2 linked regions of the Struthio camelus genome follow. The protein of the gene in region 1 interacts with the protein of each later gene in a pairwise test. Links are inferred from orthologs where the notes say so. Each region holds a gene or a part of one and is shown on either strand. Other genes may lie near its edges.

Evidence for each region.
Region 2: the proteins of TRIM37 (region 1) and FAM107A interact in binary tests that used the Homo sapiens proteins (3 or more experiments, as listed by UniProt). The two-hybrid records come from large-scale screens. The link is inferred for Struthio camelus from reciprocal best matches to the Homo sapiens genes TRIM37 and FAM107A.

What each region holds. Positions count from the first base shown.
Region 1 is NC_090957.1:18,435,124-18,442,380, reverse strand, and holds the start of TRIM37 (E3 ubiquitin-protein ligase TRIM37), read left to right. Parts: upstream 1-4,250; 5' UTR 4,251-4,463; coding exon 4,464-4,484; intron 4,485-5,978; coding exon 5,979-6,080; intron 6,081-7,257. Other genes in the region: SKA2 (spindle and kinetochore-associated protein 2), read left to right, coding at 1,048-1,087, 1,879-2,011, 2,757-2,883. UniProt on the Homo sapiens protein: E3 ubiquitin-protein ligase required to prevent centriole reduplication. Probably acts by ubiquitinating positive regulators of centriole reduplication.
Region 2 is NC_090955.1:10,447,753-10,455,217, reverse strand, and holds the start of FAM107A (actin-associated protein FAM107A), read left to right. Parts: upstream 1-4,456; 5' UTR 4,457-4,548; coding exon 4,549-4,572; intron 4,573-7,465. Other genes in the region: protein FAM3D, read left to right, coding at 504-588, 887-1,013, 1,202-1,291. UniProt on the Homo sapiens protein: Stress-inducible actin-binding protein that plays a role in synaptic and cognitive functions by modulating actin filamentous (F-actin) dynamics. Mediates polymerization of globular actin to F-actin. Also binds to, stabilizes and bundles F-actin.

The DNA of each region.
Region 1 (7,257 bases):
TATTAAATACAGGTTGGAGTATGAGTAAGAGTAATTGAAGCATATTGCACATAATATATAACACAATAGAATGTAGATATAAATGATACTTGTTAAAAAGTCGGATATTTTCTCAAAGCTCCTGAAAGCACAACATTCTAATAGTGATAATCATCTGCAAAGACTTGGTATGGGTCTTACATTAAAAACAAAATATTAAAGAAAGTTAGCAGACTGTAATTATCTTACTGACCTTATCTTTTTCTACTTCTTCTCACTGCCTACTCCTTTTCTATCAAAGGATGTCTCTCTTTCTGTCCCTTTATTGCCACGGTTGGTTTGCATGAAAGACTTCCAGTATGATACTGGCTTTCTGCTTCATTCACTCTTCCTTTGCAAATATCTTCTCCTACCTTGATTAAATCCTCTCAATTTTTGTCTTTCCATTATTTAATTCTGAAGCCCTTAAGATACAGCTGGCATAAAAACAGACCTCGTGCAAAATGTAGCTATATCCTGCTCACATTAAAGGTTGTTTAATTGGTATGAGTCCCTATGTTGTTATTACGTGTGTTTTGAAGATATTCTAAAAGTCTCTGAAAGACAGAAAGAAGGGAAAGATACCACAAAGGCCCTGTTTTGGTTTTTTGTTTTGTTTTTTTTGTTATTGTTGTTAATGCTGAATTTCTGGCAGAGAAGAGTTAGATATAGCTACCTTTAGCTTGTCAAAACTGTCAACTCTGAGGGTTGCTGGAGAACAGGGAAGCCGTCTTTTTCCTTTGCTGCATGTGCAGTGCTTTCAGCTAGATCCATACTGGAATGCAGAGGAGAAAGCTGAAGAGGCTTATCTGACTTGCATATGAATCTTTTTGTTTGCATTTTAAACCTATTCTTATTTGAAATTGGAATTTATTTAACGCATAAGATTTTGCTGTTAACTTCAGTAGCTGTGAGATCCTTGGTATCCAGTGGTAAAATGTAGTTACTAATACAGAAATGCTCGTTGTAAAAACTAATTTCTAAATAAAATTTCAACAAATCCTGAAATTATCTCTCATTTATTTTTAGCCATTTAGTTCGGAATCTACAGTCCCTGACTCAACTGAAGGTGAGTGCTGGGGAAAAAAATCTTTCTACTGCTCCCTTTTCTTTTTGAGCATGAAGACTGATCCCCCGCCTCCTCCCACCCCAGGCCCTGTAAATAAGTTTTGCAAATAATATCAATCTTTCCTAAGGCTTCCATCTTCAGTGTTGAACTTCATATGTTTAAGTATCCCAGAACTATTAGAGTTACTATCTAGAATTCAGGGATTAATGAATTAAGCTGTTTTACTCTCTGAAAAAGACAGAGACTGTAAAAAAACCTTCAGTAACAGCACAGTAAATTCACTGTTTTCATTCTCTTAAGCTCTAGTAACTACTGCTTTTACATGAAGTGAAGAATTTATACTTTACTATAAGAAACTGAGCGCTTAGTTATATTCCACATGTAGCTCCCATGTCTCTGGGAGCTGCTCTTGCTGATGAGGGGATTTAAGTGGATCCTGTTGTGCCTCTAGTCTGGAAGAAAGAAAATGGTGTACTAGTTGTGCCATAGAAATAACTCTTGCTTAATCTGTTCATCCTTATTTATAAAAAGGAGTTTTCTTAGTGATTGTTTTTAACTAGTCTCTGACAGACCAAATTTATTAATCCATATCAAATTTCAAATTAAATTATTTTTCACTAGGTCGGCAGAAACAATGGTAGTTTGGAGGGAGTGTCTTCCCTCTCTCCTTCCTCCTGCAGTAAAATCTTTTTCAGAATCATTTAGGAGTTTTCTTACAAAGGTATGAAAGTACTATCTATCTGTGGCCTAATTTCTGAAGAAATAAATGCCTTCTATTTTCAATTTTCTAGAATCACAATTCAAACCATTGACTGAAGAAACGCTTATGACTGTACCAAGGAGTATCAGAAGTACTGTTAAGCTGGCAGACTTGAACAATTTTTACAGGGAGTTATTTAACCACTTTGTTATCAATAAGAACAGGTAAGACTTGAAGGAATCCATTAATAAGACTCTTATAATCTGTAAAGAAATTCCAGCCTTTTTAAACTGAATAAAAACAGTTGTCAACTCTGAAAGTGGTTAACTATTTGCTGCTCTACTATAACTTCAAAATTTGATTTCCCTCACTTATGCCTTTACTGGTTGGGTATATAGCCCAAAGTGATATGCCCTCCTAGGAAACTCCCCAAATTTATTTATATAAAAATGGTTTATATCGTTTGATAATTTTCAAAACTGCATGTCCAGTTCTTCAGAAACAGATTTTTTTTTTTTTTTAACCTTGGAGTCACTGAACAGATGTCCAAAACTGGGTCTACTCAGAAAAGTTTTGCTGACACAGTCATACTGGAAAACCTTTCTAGCTTTCATAACCTGGAAAAGCAAAACCCTAACCCAAATTCCTCACCTCAGTCCTGACCCCAGACCCTGACTCTAGCCCTTGACTCTGAGCCCTGACCTCTGTCTGTGATTTCTGCTGCAGATTTCTCACAGGCTGATGGTAAAGAATGAAGAAGCTTTTAACCTAACAATTCTGTCTTTGACACTGAGCTTGGACTGTTCTTTGAAGCAGCACAGTGAAATGGATGGCAATGTGCATAAGTGTGAGAATTGCAGAGCCCTTGCAAAAATCAGTCTTCTAAACAGTATGGGCTTTTTAGTCACTCTCTGGCAGGCCTGATGTTTGATACCCTGCTTTGCTGAATAGTTTGCTCTTGTCTTGCAGAGCAGCACTCAGCGTTTCACAGATGAACAAGATGAATATGAAAGCCACTGACTCAAGAGTACGCATCTTGAAGGAACTCTCTGTTGTGGAACTTGACAAACATGGAAATGTTAAATTAGTGGCGTAAATGAAAGCTCAGTCCATTCTTATTTGACACACAAGCATGTTGGTTATAGCTCCTGGATTATTAACAAGGAAGTATTTCTCTGATGTCTGGGAGTTACCAGTACACTGTTAGAAAGCTGTTAATTTTTCTGTATACAAATTCTATTTATAAAACTTAAAATTGCAGAGTTAAACATTGAGGTTGGAAATTTATCTTGGACATTTATAGGTCTATCGTAGATGCATTTTTGAAGAGTATTGTTAACCGTGTGACTTTTCCATATTCCTGTTTACATTCCTGAATGGGTTTTTACAATGAATAACCCAAACCATTTAATTGTACTTACATTCCTGAATAAATGATTAAAGCTAAGGAGGCCATAGATTTAATTATATATGTTTTTAAATGTCCGCTGGCCCCTGACCTTTTCGTTTTGCCTTGATGTGCGCTGTCTTTGTTACAGTCCAATGAAATTACAGGATCACAGAACAGCCGAGGTCGGAAGGGCTCTCTGGAGATCATCTAATCCAACCCCCTGCTCTGCCCGGGGTCTCTGCAGGTTGCTTTGGGTCACGTCCGGTTAGCTTTTGGGCATCTCCAAGGCTGGGGACTTCACACCCTCTCTGGGCAACCTGTTCCACTGTTTCACCACTCTCGCAGTTTAAAAAAAAAAAAAAAAAAAAGAAAAGTTTTCTAGTGTTGAAATAGAATTTCCCGTCCTTCAATTTGTGCCCACTGAGAAAGTAACCGACTTGCCCGTGTGACTCTTATAATTTGTGTTTACTACTGCACTACGGAAAGAGACAATCCCAAAATCAAAGCCAACACTTCAAGGAAAATCCTTTCCCTGCAGAGGATGCAGTGATCAGTGCAGCCCTCCGAATTCACATGAGCCACCTGTTTTTAAGCACTGAACTCTTCTATATACTTTGATATATTATGCGAGTAACATTTTTGTCTTCACTGTCAAATAGACTGTCTTCTGAGTGAAAAATCTGTATAAACATTTAATGTACTTCTGTCTGTTTTCAATAAATGTCATGCGTACACAGATAATTGTTACAAAAGGATCGCAAAGTTTGAGCTTGGATAAAAACAGGCGTTGAGGAGCGTGTTTCTCCTGCAACAACTGCAGGGAGTTTTGTTCAAAGGGCTCTAAGCCTTAGCGATGACAGCAGCTGCCCGCGGGGAAGAGGGCCCTGAGCGCTGCGCCTCTCTGGTAGGTGAAGGGGCTCGTCTTTGATTTCGTTAATACGTAGAGCAGGCCTCAGTCCGGTCAGTTGTGAGCGTTTGTGTCTGACAGGAGGCCGGCGCCGTTGGGGGGGAGGGGCAGCGCCGCCCCTCAACGGCCGCGGGCGGCGAGGCGGGGCCCCGCCTCCTGCGGGCGCGGCGCGTGCGCGTTGCGGCGGGGCAGGGGCGAGCGGGCCCGCTCCCGGCGCCGCAGGGCGGAGCAGTCCGCGCGCCGCGGCGAACATGGCCGGCACCTAGAGGGTGCGCGGCGCTGTGGCACAACCCCCTCCCTCCCTCCCTCCCTCCCATCCCGGGCACTGCGGCGGGGAGAGGGGCCGGGGAGCAGCTCCGCCGCCGGCCGAGCCGCGGCCATGGACGAGCAGAGCGTGGAGGTGAGCCGCGGGGCGGCGGTTGCCGGTGGCGCTGCGCCGGGGGGGGGGGGGGGGGGGGGCGGGAAGGGCGGCGGAGGGCGCTGCCCGCCCAGGTGCGCCTCTGCGGGGCAGCGGGCTGCCGTTCCCCCGCCGGGGGCCTGGCGGGGGGGGAGGGGGTTGGCGATGGCTTCCGCTCCCTCCCGTGAGGGGAGAGCGGCTCCTCTGCGGGCCTTTCCCGCCTGCGACGGCGGTGGGGAGGAAGGCTGCGAGGCGGTAGCGCTTCCAGGCGGCGCGCGGTCGTTTTACACGGCCCGGGTTAGCGAAGGTGTCCGGGGAGCGTGGCAGGTGCCTGTTCCTGAGGTGGAGGGAGACCCTGACACCGGCAGAACCGGCTCTGGCACGCGTGAGGGCAGAGCGCCCTGCGAGAGGAGTAACCTGAACGCCTTGTCTACCTTGCTGTGCTGAGAGCCGAGCCGACGAAGAGTTTAAAAGATGTAACGCGTAGCTTCCTGTAAATGCATCTGTTTGGTTTTACAGCGATTAAAAAGGACATCAGGGTACAGGAGATGCTGTGATATCTGTAAATTGACGATACGGCTCGCTTTGTGCCGATGATAGTTTTAACTCTGGAGGGAAAAATAGCCCATTTGAAAAAATCTTTCAAAGTTCTTTAGGTAAGGCCAGAAGGGATCTAACTCCTATATAATACAGGCTGCAAGACTTTCCAAACCTTACTCTTGTTTCTTAGAATGTGCCTTCTGGCAAGTCATGCAGTCTATATTTGGAAAATCCTTATTGGTGAAAAATCCATCAGTGTGACAAGCAAATATGGTTTGATATTTTGCAATACTTTCCTAATTTTGGGAATGGAGAGAGATGAAGTGGTTATATTCAAGAACAAATTACTTCTCTGTTGGAATGGGTATAGTGAAACAGTATGTTAAACCAGATTTTATTGCCCAAGATTAATTTAGTGGGGGGGGGGGGGGCAGAGAAATTGTGGATCTAATGGTAATGGTAGACCTTAAATTATTTTAAGTCTTACAGAAGTCAAGAAAATAACCTGTCCAATTCAACCCTTCTAGTTAACATTCTGTATGATATATACAGGTACTTAATGTGCTTTTGAATTGGTCATAGCGTAGCCAGTACATTGAAATTCATAGGCTGAGAATCTGCATATACAGCACAGTTGTTTCTGGCAACTGTCAACCATGGGAATACAAATAGGAATAATGGCTCTTGGCTACAGAAATGCCTAGTTGGTAAAAGATAAATCCAACAAGGAAATTCTTCCTGGAAGAAGCATAGCGTTTTAAAATGGACACTGAGTGCTGGTGGGATGTAAAAGGAAATGAGGAAGAGAGCCATGATGTTTGAGCCGGTACCCTACTCCAAGATGCAGTATGCATAGCTGTTTGGAATAGGACTCTATTTATTAAACCTGGCATTCTGCCTAGAAAATAAATGTTTGACGTTTGTGGCATAACAATAGCATTAATCTAACCTTTGCAGAGCATTGCTGAAGTATTCCGATGTTTTATTTGTATGGAGAAATTGCGTGATGCACGTCTGTGTCCCCATTGCTCCAAGCTATGTTGTTTCAGTTGTATTCGGGTGAGTTTACTTAACATAGTTTACTCTTGCACATGTATACACTTAAAAACTCAGAGCTACTGGTCTTAAGAACGCGTTCTTGCTCTTTTCCTGTCTCCTTTCCTGGGGTTCTGAGGATTCCTTTTTCCTCCTCTGTGCTCTTTATTTTCCCTTTCAAAAGCTTTTATGACACCCTGAGAGACTAGGCATGCTGTGCATTATATAAAGTAGTGCTAATTATAGTGATTATCTGTAAGAATTGCTTTTAAAGAACAGGCATATGATGGCCTCTTCTTTAACACCTCTTCAGAGTCAGTGATGCCTATATGGACAGAGGAAGAAGTTGGAACAGAAAGCAAATACTGATCTTTCAGATGTCTGTATGGAACACTGAAAGGTCATAACATTTCCTGTCATCTTGGAGGTGTTTTAATCCTGTTAAATACATTTTGAAAATAGTTACCAACCTGGTATGACATGATCACACACTTGTTAAAGCCTTCTTGAGGGAGTCTGGTATAGTAGGCTGAAGCAGCATCCAGAGTATTTTAATTCACTTACTAGGGTGATAGTTACCAATATATAATACTTAAGTTCCAAGTCCAGACTTTGCTATGTGTAGTGGATTAAATAAGGGTTCAGCTGAGGTTTTCAGACCTGGGATAGTGTTTCCAGAGCTCAAAGTAAACAATTATCACCTTCTTTGAAAGCTCTGCAAAGAACTACATGGGAGGTATTCATGCTACATAAAAAGAATGTTAGATGACCTATTGTTGGTGTGTGGCAAGAGATAGTTTCAACAGATATTTTCATGGAGAACCTTTAAGCGTAGTAGTGAGCTGACAAAAGATAAGCCTCTCAATTGCTGAACTTTTTAAAATGTGTAAGTTATACTGGACTGCTGAAGTTCCTTCCTGAGCTACTTATCTTTGAATGAAACTTTCTGGAAGAGAAACATTCGAACAGTCTATATAGATTTGATAATTGGACTGCAGATTTATTACTTGCGTTGTAAGTAGCCCAAGAAGAAAGAAATAAGTTACCCTGAAGACGAACATCTAGAGTAGGAAAAATGCATCTGCTATATCTTATGCTTTCTTTTGTTGAAACGTGCTCTTTAGTCTATAACTGTGGGAATCTGCAGTAGGTTTTCTCATGGAATATTAGGTACCTGAAGATTCTCTTTTTAAGTTTAACT
Region 2 (7,465 bases), on another chromosome or scaffold:
GCTCCTGTGCCCCTAGACGGGACGTTGGCCTAAAGCGTCCCACACCGCCGGCGCGGACACAGGACGAAGAGTCATTCGTGCAATAAAGCTGGAGTCCGTAGGGCAGCCGGCTTCAGCGGCCGAGCCCAGCCTCAGACGCGGCCGCTGACGGGGACCCGGCCCCGCAGCCCCGCGGGAGACCCAGGCTCCCTTCCGTTGTTTGGAAGCGAACTCGTGCAGCGGGGTTTTCCCAGTTAGTGAGCAAATGTTGGGACAAAGCCCTCCTTCCGCTTGCCCTGCCAGCGGGAGGCGAGCAGCTCCTCGGCGGGTCCGGGTGCAGGTGGAGTGCGAAGTGGGAGAGCCCCCTCCAGGCCCACGACCCCCGCGTCTGCCTGGCTGATCCAACATATCCACCATATTTCCTACTAAGAGGAGTTTCCCGCATCTGCCATCCAGCGGTCCCAGCTGAATCCTTCTTTTTCATTCTTTTTTTTTTTTTTTTTTTAATGCTTCCCCTCTCCCAGACGTGAAGGAACTGGAGACCTTCCTGACGGAGATCAAGGACGGCACCTTCGTGCTGACGGCCACCTTCGACGACCCCGCCACAAAGTGAGTCCAGCCCCCGGGAACGGCTCTCCCAAAAGCCGCAGCCAAGATGGGGATGAACCAGAGCTGCTGCTGCTCCTGCCGCCCCGTCCCCCCATCCCACCCTGCCCGGACAAGGCTCCAGCTCTGCACGCACGATGGCTCCTTTACAGCCCCACTGCAGAAGTGCAAGACGGGATGGGACGGGACATGCCCCGCGGCCTTGTACGGAGGGGACGCGGGGCGGGAACGGGGCAGCGGTGGGGGACGCCGACCTGGCACCGCGCTGAGGTTTTCTGACGTCTTTTCTTTCATCTTTGAGGATGAACGACAAAATCCGGATGCTCTTTACCAAGCTGGGCAGCAACCACGTGAGCAAGCTGGGCTTCCGCGACAACTGGGTTTTCTTAGGAGCCAAGGGGATGAGCACAAAGACCCCCTTTGAAGAGGTACGGTCGCCCGTGCGCTCCCGTGGTGGAGGCTCTCCACCTCCCCGCGGCACGTCTCATCTACCCGCTTGCAGGCGACGCAGGCCGGCGGCGGCATCCATCGCGTCAGAGCAGTCCGCAGGCTTCGCCGCCCTGCGATTTCGCCCTGCCACCCAACTCCCCATTTAGTTCCTCGTTTTCTTCCGCAGCACATCAAGAACAACCAGGAGACGAACAAATACGACGGCTGGCCCGAGGTGCTGGAGATGGAAGGCTGCGCCCCGCGCAAGATGGACTAGCGGGGCGCGAGCCCCCACCGTGGTAAAGGCTGCTCCGGGCAAGCCGGTCGCGTTGAACCGGCTCCGGCTCCCCACCTCCTGAGCGCCGTATCCAGCACCGGCTGCCTGCTGCCAAACGACGGGCAATTTCGTAGCAGGGACTGCGCGGTACTGGGAAAAGCGGCGTACCAGACTCCCTGCCAAGCCTGAGCAAGCGTCCAGCCAGGCTTCACCCAAGCTGTTCTAGCGTGGGTCAGTTTGGGGGATTTTACTTTTCTGTCTTTAAGCCACCAAGACTTTGCAAGAGGGCTTTTAAGTTTTAAGATGGCCAGTTGCCAATCACTGCCTTCTTACTTCCCTTTTCAAGTGTAATCTGCGCTTTTCCCTGTCTCTCGCCTGCTGGGTATCACCGGGGACCATCCCGCGGTGAACGGCAGGCCAGCCCTGGTGATGCTTGAGCCTTGGTGGCTCCATCCGCCGTGCCAGGAGCTCCCACCGGTCACCCGCGGGAACAGGCACCCCGGGGACCCTGCGCACTCAGAGGGAAGCTGGCCGGGGGCCTCCGCTGCCGTCTCCTACAGCCGCAAGGGAACAGCCGGACGGGCTGTGGGGATGCCTCGCGGCAACGCAGGTCACGCGTTCGCAGACCAATGCGTTTCCCCCATCCCGTTGCCTCTTTCTTGGGTTAAACCCCCCTGTCCGCTCCGCGTCACCGCACCAGCGGCGAGAGCGATGTGCAATGGGTACAGCAAGCTGAAATTGTGCAACATAACCAATAGGTGGGAGCCTTTTACCGGGAGAAACGGGATGCCGCCGGTCCCAGATGTCAGCCTGGCTGCCGGGGACGCAGTCCCACCTGCAGCCCGGGACTGGGAGCACTGGGCTGCGGTGGGAGCCGGGCGCAGGTCCGGGTGCTGCTGCCGGAGAAATCCCTGCTCAAACAGCGCGCGCAAGGGCCCACCGGCCTCCTGCCGGGGCCGTTCCCAGCGGATCTGAGACCGCGAACGCCCAGGGAGCGCCTGCCCCAGGCTCGGGGCAGACGGCATTTACCCCTGAGTGCCGCTCGTGCCCCAAACCACCCCCGCGCCAGCGCGGCTCGGCATCAGAGGAGCCCAGTGGGCGATGGCCCAGGCTTATCTGTTACTGTAGATAAGGACAAATCTGCATCACAAACAGGCTTTAATTTCCTCCATCATATCCGTTTCCCCCCCCCCCCCATTCTCAAAAGGGAAAAAACACTTTTTGCAGAGAGCAAAGGTGGAATATTCCTGTTCCAGCGTTTTGGGTTTAATAATGCAGTAAAAGCGCCTGGAAACGAAGGGTTATCTTGGACAGCCTTTCCAGCATCCATAACAACGGGCTTCGCTCCCAGAACAGCTTCTAATGCACAATTCACCTCAGTTATCGGAGCCCACAAGTTATCCCAGTGGGTTTCGCCTCCAGAGAGGCTAAACGCAGCCCCAAAAGCCCTGCGTCACGCGGGACCTACGCCGGCCGCTTCGGCGGCGCGGGGGGCTCGGCCGCAGGGAACCCCCTTACGCGGATGCTTTTCCCAGCCCACACTAAGCTGCAGCAGAGACGCACGGAGCAAAAAAGGGGAAAAGCTTCCCACTTGGCCCCGTAACGGTGACGGCCTGATCTGTGCGCTCCTGACCCCGCGAGCTCCCCGTGTCGTATGTTAGAAGAGATTAAGCGAGCTGAAATTTTTCCCTAAATAAGGCCAAAAAAAAAAAAAAAAACACCCTCAAAATGAGCTGCGCGATGCCTGTAAGACCTTCCAAAGACAAAACTAAACGAAAAACCCCGAGCACAACCACGGCAGAGGAACACCCCGACGGCTGTGCCAGCTGCATTCAGTATTACCCTCCTTAACGCGCGCCCAGCTGCCACGGAGGGACGGCAGCACCGCAAACCCGCTCCAGCAACAGCCGCTACCGCCAAGCACCGAGCCCCGCACAGCCTGGCCAGCGGTGACAAACAGCAGAGCTCAGCAGGCAGAGCAGCCCCCCCGTCACACGGCCTGCGGCGCTGCCAGCACAAATATGCCGACTATGTTAAGCCCCCTCAAAGGATCTCGATTCCTTCGTAAGCCAAATTAAAGGCAGGCTATAAGCCGTGAAGGCGAGCGCGCGGTGTCACCTGGGGTACAGGAGACCGCAGCCCCCTGTCACCCTCGGGGAGCTCTTCCTGTCCCTTCACGACACACGTTATGTTGGCTTTAAACCAGACGCCTTTCCAAGGGGTGTTTATGTCCCAGCACCCTATAGACAGCTAAAACCGGCTTTGGATGCGTTGCTGAGCGAGCGCAACGGCACACCACAACTGTCCAAAACCAGCAATCGCGTTTCAGCTCCGTTTAGGGACGCTAATCAGAGACCAGCGCTTTGAAGAGCCGTCCTGCCAAAGTCAGCACATCGGGCAAATAAATCAGAGTCCCAAAGGGTATTCGGGGACATAAATAGGGCTTATTCTTCAAAAAAAAAAAATCTTAAAAAAAAAAAAAAAAGGGGGGTGGCGGACGCAGGGATAACAACTCCCAGAGGAGTTTCCTGGTGCCTCAGCAGTTTAGCATTATGGCCAAGCCGGGGACGGTACCTACCTGGACGATAACCTCGCGGTGCTGCATCCCCCCGAGGCGTCAGCGAAAGCGAGCCCTGCCCGGCGCCCCTCGGGGTCCCGCTCCGGGTAACCCGGGCTCAGCCGGCGGCAGCCAACAGCCATCCTGGCGCATTTGCAAAACCCCCGGCAGCGACAGAGCCCCGCTGCAAAGGGATAATGCTGTTTTCCCCCCCTCTCGCCCCCGCCGCGGCACCGGTTTCTTTCGGCAAAGCACCAAAGCAGCCGCCAGGAAGGATGCTGCCCGTCGGCAACGACCTACAAGCACCGGGGACGGCAGCTCGCGGCCGGTCGGAGCCCCGCGCCGGGCGAATCCGCGTCCTGTGACATCTTGCCCTGTCAAGTGCAATTACCGTAATCTTCCACAGCCTCTCAAAACACGGGTCCCGGCTTAGAAACCGGGCATCCGCGGCATGAAAGCTGCCTTTGTGCCCAGGCAGCGCCTGGGCGCCAGCCAGCCGTTAGGTGCACGAAGAAAATGAGTTCTCCACGTGCTGGGAGACGGGAGGAAAAGAAAGCTTTCCGGCTCGGCCCCTCCGCAGCCCGGCTGGCTTTCGCCTGCGTCTCGGCGCCGGAGCGGCCGAGGGGCCGGGAGCTGCGGGCCCGCGCGGCCCCCCGGGCTTAACGCCGCCGGCGGCCGCGGGAAGCGCGCACGTCGCGCCATGGGAGCGGCTCACGGGAAAAAGGTAACGACGGGGCTGTTTTACGCCGTGCTGCGGGGCGGCCGCGAAGGCGCCGGCGGCTCACGCGCGGCGTGTTTTGCCCTCCGCGTGCTGAGCCGGCTCACCGGTGTCCCACGCTGGCGGCCAGGTTAAGCGAGGCCACGCGGGCGGCGGGGCCCCGCCGGGAGGGCGGCGGGAGCAGCGGGAGGGAAAGGCCGAGTTGGGCCGTCCGCGCGGCCGACGGACGCGGGGAGCGAGGAGGGGGCTGCCGGGATGGACGGCGTCGGCGCTGAGCCCAGCCGACGTCTCCGTCCCCCCCCCCGCCACCGCTGCCTTCCCGCTTCCAGCCTGGCTCACGCAGAGGGCGAGCTAGCTCCCCTGCGGCACAGGGCTCTTCCCTCCGGCCACGCGCTCCGGCACAAACTGCGTCTCAAACCGATCTCCGCTGCAATAAACACCCCGGGGGCACCAGCTGAGGAAATCGGCCCCCCGGCTCGGGTACCTCCCTCCGCATCCCGGGCCCCACAAGCGCTCCGTAATCCCCCCAAGCGTTTCCAGGCCTGGGAATCGCCCCCAGCTCCCGCCCCAGGGCGGCGATGCCCCGCGGCGCTCGAGAGCTGCTCCCTCTCCTCCAAGGAGCACGACCCGTCGGACAGCCCCGAAAGGAAACAGTGCGTTAAGGAGTCAGAGCCGCGCAGAGACGGCTATAGATATTTACATCGGGGATTTAACGTCGCCTTGCTTTTCCGCCTGAGGAAATTTGCCCCTGGGGATAACGTCACCTCTGTACAGCGGTGCTGCCCTGAACCAACGCTGGAGTCTCTTCTGCCGCTTGTCCCCCAGCTCCCTCCTCGGCAGGGCAGTCGTGCGCCACACCAGGTCAGGGAAAACTGGTGGCTCTTTCTGATCACGTAAGGCTACTCTGACTACAAGAAGTTGCTTGAAGACACGTGTTGATGCTGTCAAGAGCACTATCAATAATTGTTGGTGCCACCTTGTCCAAACAGATTGAAGCAGCAAAGCTGGTGGCCTTGCAACTTCTGAAAGGCTTCTCGAGCAACGGGAACTTCTGCTCCGTCCTGTCACCCTCCATCAGAAAGTTAAAATGAAATTTAAAATGGAAAATCCCTCAAATAAGGAGAGCCAGGCCAGGACCCTGATTATAAACAAGCAGCACCCAGTGATCCACAACTGACACCTGATCTTCATCCGTTTTAAACCAGACTCCATCTTAATTGGTTTACATAAAATGAGCCAACCCACTAACTTGACGGAAGTCAATGAAATAGGGTTCCCCACGTGCCTGGGAAGTATTCTCCAGCAGTTACAATAACTGGAACGAAAAAAAATTATCATCTGTACCTTTGATTCTAAATAATGCTCGGTGTTTAATGCCACGTGGTCCCGGAAGGAGAGCAAATCTGCCTTCAGAGGCTGCTCAGCATCTGAACGCAAGCTAAGACCGTAAAAGCAAAACCCGGGGACAGGTTGAGGGAGCGAGCCCGGCACGGTGCGGGGACCTGTTCCTCAGGGCCCAGTTTAGTGAGAGTTTGCAAAACAGGCACGGGAGCATGAGGAGAAACTTCTCAGCTTCTTTTCCCTGTTATGACCCTTACAGCAGAGATGGTCCGTGCAGAGAAGGTAGCTCAGGGTGATGTCCCCCCAGCCACAGCAACTCTGGTCTCCACTGTGATGTCCTCCTCCTCCCCCTCTCCATGGAGGGCATCATCCCCGCACGCTCAGAAGAGCATGGCGAGGTGTGGGTCCCGGCGTGCAGAAGTCTGCGCGTCTGCTGTGCTTTCTGGCTCTAGCGTCGGAAGGTGTTGCAAGAGAAACGCGCTCAGAGGCGACCCAGAGAAGGGGGGGGGGGGGGGGAAAGAAAGTCAAAGTCAGGGCTGGGCTGAGACTCACAAACATTTCTTTGTTCTCCTGGACCTCAAGGACTGAACGCCCCATCCCAAGCAGGTGCTGCTCGCAGCCAGCCCGTCTCTCTGCGAGCCTGTCAGAGGGGCCGGCGCTGCCCTGGTTTCGGGTAAGCGCCGCTCCAGCTCACGGAGATGCCGCGTCTGGGTCGGGCCAGGGGCATGCAACGGTTCCCAGCAGGCTCAGGAGGGTCCGAGCCCTGCCTGCGGCTGGTGCCCAAGCCATCGCTCACGTGGCCGTCAGCGCCGTGCCCTCCGGGCCTTGGCGCGCTTCTGCGGCTGTTCCTGAAACCGAGGAAATAAGCTGGTTCAGCAGCTTGGCTCAGAGCCACCCGCTCCAAGCTGCTTTCAGAGCTATCGCTCCGATCCTCCCCTGCCCCCAGGCCAGGGGCTTTTGGACAGCTTTCACCCTCGCTCCCTCTTCCCGAAACACAGCGATCCTAAGGCGGCCGGTGCTGAACGGCCCGGCTTCGAAGCGCGCCCGCCGGCTCTGCTGGCCCCAAAAAGCTCGGGGACGGTTTTCTTCGGCGGGCGTCACAGATTTCACTTCCATCTCAGCTCCCAAACGTCGCCCAGTTTGACCAAAGCGCGCGGCCGGCGCCGAGCGGGGACGTCGGGCTGGCGGCTGGGCGCTGTACCCGCGGCCCGACCCTGCCGGCGCGGGAGCAAAGGCTCCTTCTCCCGTATTTCCCGGGCACGCGCGAAACGCGGCCTCCGGCCCTCGGGCAGGGCCGGGTCAGCAGGACGCTGGGGACGCCCTGCCCAGCGGGTGCCCTCTCTCGCGGCAGCGTTTGCCGGGCAGCCGCGCGGCCGGGGCAGGGAGGGTTTGCTCAGCAGCCGAGCCGCTGAGCCCTGCGCCGGAGCCTGCCTATTATTTTTACCCACTGCGCTTAAAAATCCCATGAAACCCTAAAAAGTAGCCACGTTTCCCCGGCACTCACCCGCCCTTGCACATTTTCCACCAGATTTCCCACCGCTCCACACTCGTCCCTCAC